2 linked regions of the Oryctolagus cuniculus genome follow. The protein of the gene in region 1 interacts with the protein of each later gene in a biochemical or structural test. Links are inferred from orthologs where the notes say so. Each region holds a gene or a part of one and is shown on either strand. Other genes may lie near its edges. The genes, in order: MAP3K2 and SMYD3.

Region 1 (3,818 bases):
AAATTTACTGGTCTGATGGCTGCTGGGTTAATTAGAGTGCTCAATGATTCAGATACCAGCTTTCTTACCTATCACAGACAGTCGTTTTTTCCTTTCTGCTCCAAATACTGTGTTATCCAAATCTTCTAGTGATGTTAATGGTTCTACAGTAGTAGCCTACAGAGGATAAGTGACAATTTTAATGTTATTCTTCCCCTTCAGGACTTTTAAATAGAATCCTCTTCCCTACCAAACACAATCTAGCTATTCTATATTGTTTATGGGCCTTAGCAAACCTTACACTCTTTGAAACTTTTATTCTAACATAATTCTTCCCAAACTGTCAGTTTCTGTTAGCTTCACATACTCAAAATATTATACTTATTTGTAATTTTTGACTTGTAGTTTTGAAGAGCAAAGTTATTGAAACAATAGCAATTAAAGTGTGTACTTTTACATTTATTCATATTGAAAATACAGTGATGATTACATAATGTAACTATTTCAAACATTGGATTTTATAGGCTTAAATCCCACAATTATTAAGAAAAAATTCCAATTCCTACCTGTGCATTACCATTTATTACAAGCAATATTTTGAGGCTCTTCATATGAATACTACGATCCAACAGTTCCACAGCTTTATCCAAGTCATCTTGGGTAGTTAGTGGAATTACCAACTAAACAAAAAGGAACATAAAGAATCATACAGCCATCTCATCAGGTCAAGCTCTCCCATGGTTATCCCCATTACTAGGGCATTAAAAATTTCAAAATACCTTGCTCTTTGATTTGTTACTACAATGACAGTCTGAATAAGCACATGACTCTATATTGTTTTGCTCTCCCCATGCTGCTACCAGTAAAATCTCAGAATAGATACAGCTAAATATTTTTAAATTTAGCTGTTAATTACATAAAGATTAATTTTCTAAGATTCTTCCACAATATTGCCAAATATAACTTACAAAATATTCATCCCCAAATGACATTAAGGAGTACAACACAAACTGTATAAAATAAAGGTATGATTTTTCATCTGCACAGATGAAACTCTCAGTGCTTTTTCCAATAGTAAACACAGATTTGCGCTCATGCCCAGTGCGCTCCTTGACACACCAACACCCACAGCATCTGTGACAGCTGCCATAGAGAACTGCCACAAGCAACCTACATGCCATCTGCAGTCCACCTGGGGTTTGCCTCTCTGACCCTGCTGGCCTGAGCACTGTTCTTGCAAGAAACCAAATGGGTCAGTCATCCCATCAACTCTAAATGTGGAAATCTGCTTTCATCAATTGTCTCATGGATCAGCTATTACAGAGGACAAAAGCACCAAAGAGGTCTGTGAGAAAAAGTATGATGCATACATTTTAAGAAACTCAAAAATACTTTTAAAATGTCAACTTAGTAGTTCAAGAAGACTGTCAATAACTCCAAAGTACATTCAACTTTATTGAAAGACAAACAGAAGTAAACAAATGAACGTATTCCACTTGCCCTTATTAGCAGAGTCTATGAGTCACTCAAATTGAAGGCCTACATAGTTTGGGATTCCCTACAATACCTTGTGAACAAGGACCTATGCACATTAGCAATAACTACAGAGCACAGCAAAGAGAAAAGACTTGGTAAATGTTATTTAATAAATATCATGTAGGGGAAGAAGGCACTTCAGGAACAGTGGGTTAAGCCATATCCTATGACACTGGCATCCCATATAGCACTGGTTCAAATCCTGGCTGCTCCACTTCTGATCCAGCTTCCTGCTGACATGCCTGGGAAAGCAGCAGAAGATGGTTCAAGTGCTTGGGCCCCTGCCACCCACGTGGAAGACCCAGATGGAGTTCCAGGCACTGGCTTCAGTCAGACTCAGACTCAGCCAACTGCAGCTATTTGGGGAGTGAAACAGTAGATGGAAGATGGATCTCTTTCTCTGTCTTTCAAATAAATAAATACATCTTAAAAAATAAACAGATAGATAACCCAGAGGTGAAAGGTGAAAGTTTGATGTACATCCAAACCCACTAACTAGCAGGGCATACATTCATTCTCTATGATTTCTTTATGAGAAACACCCTTGTTTTAAGAACCACAAAGGACTACCATGAATTCCATCACACAGTCTGCTCACATTTACTAACTCAACACCTACAACCTAAGTCCCAACTTCTGTCTGAGGCTAATTTCATACTACAAGTTACCCAGCCACTGGACTCTGTTTTCCTTTTAAGAATTTGTTCCTAATGAAAAAATAATTATTAACTAATATTACACAAGTCTGATCTATTTATCTGCTTAATAAATTCCTTTCCTTCTCCTACCAGTTATGAATCAAATGGGCAATTTTGCTCCTCTCATTAATCATCTTTTTTATAGTCCTGATGTGATTATCCCTATGTTCTAAGGTCACCTATTACAAACAGTAAAATCCAGAATGAGAGTCAAGAACAAGTCCTGGCTTATCTAAATTATAGTAAATAAAACAGAATTTTCATGCTTCACAAATTCATTTCAGTATTATTCACGCAATCTCCCTTCAGCTAATTTTTGATATGTTATGTTAATATAAATCCTTTCCACAAAAGAAAAAAAATTAGTTCAAGAACACAAGGAATAGAACTTAAATTTGAAATAAGTGAATTATCTTCTTGACTTTACACAGTGAAATATGAAAATAGCCCATAGATTTTCTTGTTCTCATCTAAACTGAGAAAGAGTTCAGAAAATCTCCCACAAGAACAACTACAGTCAGCATCTTACTAGAAAAAACAAATCCATTCAAGCTTCAAATTCCTGGTTATTTCAATTCTGGTGAACCATAAGTTTATACGGTAATAGTTCATTTTGGGCCAGCACTGCAGCTCACTAGGCTAATCCTCTGCCTATGGCGCCGGCACACCGGGTTCTAGTCCCGATTGGGGCGCCGGATTCTGTCCCGGTTGCTCCTCTTCCAGTCCAGCTCTCTGCTGTGGTCTGGGACTGCAGTGGAGGATGGCCCAGGTCCTTGAGCCCTGCACCCGCAAGGGAGACCAGGAGGAAGCACTGGCTTCTGGCTTCAGATCAGCGCAGTGTGCCAGCCGTAGCGGCCATTTGGGAGGTGAACCAACAGAAAAGGAAGACCTTTCTTTCTGTCTCTCACTGTCTAACTTTGCCTTTCCAAAAAATAAAAAATAAAAAAAAAAGTTCACTTTGAACAGCATGAATGATACTGTACCAGAAATAAGTAAATAAGTGGAATAATATGCAGTATACATGAATTTTTTATTTGTCTACAGGTACACAAAACTAACACCTCTTGTAAGATTTTCCTTAGGGCCTGGAGCTGTGGTGTAGTAAGTTACGCATCCACCTGTGGAGTTGGTATCCCATATGGGTGCCAGTGTGAGTTCCGGCTGCTCCATTTCCAATCCAGCTCTCTGCTATAGCCTGGGAAAGCAGTAGAAGATGGCCCAAGTCCTTGGGTTCCTGTACCAGCATGGGAGACCCGGAAGAAGCTCCTGGATCCTGGATTCCAATCAACCCAGCTCTGGTGGTTGTGGCCATTTTGGGAGTGAAATAGCGGATGGAAGACTTTTTTCTCTCTCTCTCCGCCTATGCCTCTCTGTAACTCTGCCTCTCAGATAAATAAACAGATCTTAAAAAAAAAGAAACTGCAAGGCATCACTATAGTATAGTACTCGTCCCTTTGTGGATATTAAATGTTTGGGTTATGGATTTTTACTTTCTCAAAATATTTTCATCTCTGAGCTGTACGTGGTTTCTTTAGACAAGCTACATTAACATTTTCTTTTGCTTTAACTATTTAAAATCTAATATATTTAAGTATTTTATTTACA
Region 2 (3,918 bases), on another chromosome or scaffold:
TTTTCCCAGGCCATTAGCAGGTTGCTGGGTCAGAGGTAGAGCAGTCAGGACTTGCAGTAATGCCCATATATAATACTGGTGTTGCAGGCAGTGGCTTAATCCACTACACCACAATGCCGATCCCTGTCTGATGCGTTAAAGATATTTCAAAATACTTTCATAGAACTTATCCTCATCACTTCACCAGGCATTATTATCTTCCTTGCACAGATAATAAACAGACTTGGAGAAAGGCCATATTGCAGAACTGAGACTCAAATTCTGGTCCACGGCTTTCTTTACTTCACCTTGGCCACTTGTTGGCTACTCCAGCAAATTTCCAAAGTTTGTCTCTCCAGTGCCAGAGTATTGCCCACAGCATTACTTACTAATATTACTTTATTAGTATTGAATTTTATTACTAATATTACTTTATTAGTATTAGTATTGCATTGTAATACTTTATTAGTATTTATTAGTAATACTTTATTAGTATTATAGTAGTACTAGTGACAAAGGTGAAATGAACCTTGACAAGACAGAGCTAACAGAAGCAGCTGTAGTCTGTCGATGCAATTGACTACAATGCAATGACTACATTGATTGCAATGTCTCAATTAGTTTTATCAATAGTGGGGCAACTTGATATTGTGCACTTTCAGATGTAATATAATGCAATACAAAGTAAACAATATCATGTACAAGGAAAAAAAAAGTTTTCATTGAATCCAGTCAGGCCTCTAGGCTCTTACATCTAGATTTAGCCTACAGTGAACAGGAAATACAAGAGCAAGTTAAATGACACCAGGAAAATACAAAACTCCTAGCTTAGACTCTGCAGAGTCCATGTCAGAAAAAGTGCATGACCTTTGATTGGATCCTGGTTTAAAAAACCTTCCAAAAACAGTTGCAAAAGGCATTCATCCTTTTTTCTTTTTTCTTTCTTTCTTTCTTTCTTTCTTTCTTTCTTTTCTTTTTTTTTTTTTTTTTTTTACAGGCGGAGTGGATAGTGAGAGGGAGAGAGAGAGAAAGGTCTTTCTTTGCCGTTGGTTCACCCTCCAATGGCCGCCGCGGCCGGTGCACCGCGCTGATCCAAAGCCAGGAGCCAGGTGCTTATCCTGGTCTCCCATGCGGGTGCAGGACCCAAGCACCTGGGCCATCCTCACTGCACTCCTGGGCCACAGCAGAGAGTTGGCCTGGAAGAGGGGCAACCGGGACAGAATCCGGCAGCAAAAGGCATTCTTCAAGTGAATACGGTTCTGCTTGCTACTATAATTTTCTTAGGTGTGATAGTGATCTTGTATTTTATAAAACAGTGTTCTCATTCTGAGGTAATGCCAGTTAAGGTGTTTGATGTGAGGTAAAGCGCACCTTTCGAATGGTTCAACTGTACAGACTGACGTACAGATCGAGAGAGCGAGCAGAGACAGCAACATGCGAACAGGCTGATGCAGGTTGAGCGTACACAGGTGTTCACAGCATTACTTTTTCAACTTTTCCTATGTTTTACAATGACCATAATCAACAGAGCAGAAAAAAATGCCGCCTTTCTGGGCGGAGCCACCTCGCGCACCCGCCGTCGGGAGAGCAGTCGGAGCGCTGAGCAGCTCGCGCGCTGCCGCCGGCTCCCTTGGAGACGCGGTCTGGGCATGCTCAGAGGCCCCGCCGCGCCCGCCCCGCCCCTCGGGCGTACGTGGGCGCGCAGGGCGCAGGCGCGCGAGTCCTGGCAGCCCGCGAGACGCCAGCTGCGGTACGCGGCCGTCAGCTGAGGTGCGGGAGCCGCGGCACTATGGAGCCGCTGAAGGTAGAAAAGTTCGTGACCGCCCACAGGGGAAACGGGTTGCGCGCCGTGGTCCCGCTGCGCCCCGGAGAGCTGCTGTTCCGCTCGGATCCCTTGGCGTACACGGTGTGCAAAGGGAGTCGGGGCGTCGTCTGTGATCGTTGCCTGCTGGGGTACGTACGCTGCGCCCTCGCCCACCTGAGTCCCCGGCGGTGTGTGGGGTCCGGAGTGCTGGGGGGCCTCTGCCTGGTTGGGGCTGCGCGGGAGCCCGGCGGTGCTGCCGAGATGCCTGGTCCGGCACTCCCCCGGACGCGCGTGTTGCGGGGGGCGGGTCGCCCTGACAGGCCCGGCGCGGAGAGGGTGGAGGGTGTGTCGAGGCCCAAACCCTACCTCTCTGCAAGGTGGAACTGGACCCGCGAGCCGACCGGTCCCCCGAGCTGCGTTGGGAATTAGGGGCAGACTGGACGGGGATAATTTTGCTGGAGAACAAAAAGTCTACATCATGTGTGACAAGCTTCGTTGGGACAACTGTGGAACTGACTAGTGCAGGGGTGGGTGTCAGTGCGGCTCACAGCCGAGTCCCCACCGGGAAAGAATGGGGCTTGCAGGGAGGCTGAAGAATCCTGGTGAGGAGGGTGCACTTCTGTTATTGGTTCTGTGTGGCCTGCGAACACGAAGATGGACTGGACGTTGTTTGGAATCTTTAAGCAGCAGATCAAGTGGGAAGGATAATTACAGTGTATCAGAAAGGCAGAAATAGAGATGCAGTTACTGTGCTATGGGAGCGTTTGTAAGTTACTGGGGTTCCTTAGTGTGCTTTGCCATATCCTTGCCGTGCGGGAAAGTCTAACTCTGAACCACCTGTCCAGGTGCAAGAATTCACGTGAGTGTTTAGGTAGCCTGGCAGCACAGTGCCATTGAAAAGCGCTATGGGAAAGCAGTTTATGGGAGTGTGTAACACATGCAGCGGTAGGAATTGCGTTCAATGCTATTGAGTTTTTGTTGAGTTTCTGCCTGCAACTGAGAAGAGCTCTGTTTTGAGATGGGTAGGATGATTGCTTTTCCAGACCTGTCAGGCTGGGATTGAGTTAGGGAAGTACGTGCAAAGCTCAGATCTGTAGCTTGACTTTTACTCTCACTAGGTCCCTATGTGATCCATAATTGAGGAATCTGTTTAATTTGAATTTGAAGGTTATCAAATAATAGTTGTATTTGCTGATTTCTGAAAAAGTGTTGATGACAAAAATCCATTTGGGAAGGAGCACATTGTGTGATTAAGAACAATTCATTCCTTTCAAGACTTTGCTGAAGGCTGTCGTTTAACTTCATAGATCTTTGATTATCCTTCAGGCAAATTGAGAAATTGGCCTGTGTATTCTGTTGCATCCTTTGGAGTATATGCTGAGTTTTACTGTAGTCCAAAATAGAGAACTTGCTGTTTAAGTCCTATCATATTAATTGGTGAATAGAATGTGGGCCACTTTGGTAATAAAATCAGGCTAACACTTTATTTAGTACCTGGAATAGAAATGTTTTGGAATGAGTGAATGGTGACAAATTAGTAACTATTGTCAGAGCTTCACTTCAGTCATAAAACACATGGAATTGTCCATTTTCCAAATAAACTACACAGTGTTTTTGTGGGCAGGATGCTTCTTGATTTGCCTTATTATTATTATTATTATTTTTTTTTTGACAGGCAGAGTGGACAGCGCGAGAAAGAGAGACAGAGAAAGGGCTTCCTTTGCCGTTGGTTCACCCTCCAATGGCCGCCGTGGCAGGTGCGCAGTGGTCGGCGCACTGCGCTGATCCGAAGGCAGGAGCCAGGTGCTTCTCCTGGTCTCCCATGGGGTGCAGGGCCCAAGCACTTGGGCCATCCTCCACTGCACTCCCGGGCCACAGCAGAGAGCTGGCCTGGAAGAGGGGCAACCGGGACAGAATCCGGCGCCCCGACCGGGACTAGAACCCGATGTGCCGGCGCCGCAAGGTGGAGGATTAGCCTATTGAGCCGCGGCGCTGGCGCCATATTATTTTTTTAAAGATTTATTTATTTATCTGAGAAGTGGAGTTACAGAGAGAGGGAGAGACACAGAGAGAGGTTTTCCATCCACTAGTTCACTTCCCAAATGGCTGCAACAGCCAGAGCTGTAGGAAGAGAT

The links.
Region 2: the proteins of MAP3K2 (region 1) and SMYD3 are reported together in a solved structure, tested with the Homo sapiens proteins (2 studies listed by BioGRID and IntAct, with this or other methods). The link is inferred for Oryctolagus cuniculus from reciprocal best matches to the Homo sapiens genes MAP3K2 and SMYD3.

Annotation. Positions count from the first base shown.
Region 1 is NC_091434.1:122,237,099-122,240,916, reverse strand, and holds part of MAP3K2 (mitogen-activated protein kinase kinase kinase 2), read right to left. Parts: intron 660-3,818; coding exon 546-659; intron 157-545; coding exon 69-156; intron 1-68. UniProt on the Homo sapiens protein: Component of a protein kinase signal transduction cascade. Regulates the JNK and ERK5 pathways by phosphorylating and activating MAP2K5 and MAP2K7. Plays a role in caveolae kiss-and-run dynamics.
Region 2 is NC_091444.1:66,465,827-66,469,744, reverse strand, and holds the start of SMYD3 (histone-lysine N-methyltransferase SMYD3), read left to right. Parts: upstream 1-1,669; 5' UTR 1,670-1,768; coding exon 1,769-1,932; intron 1,933-3,918. UniProt on the Homo sapiens protein: Histone methyltransferase. Specifically methylates 'Lys-4' of histone H3, inducing di- and tri-methylation, but not monomethylation. Also methylates 'Lys-5' of histone H4.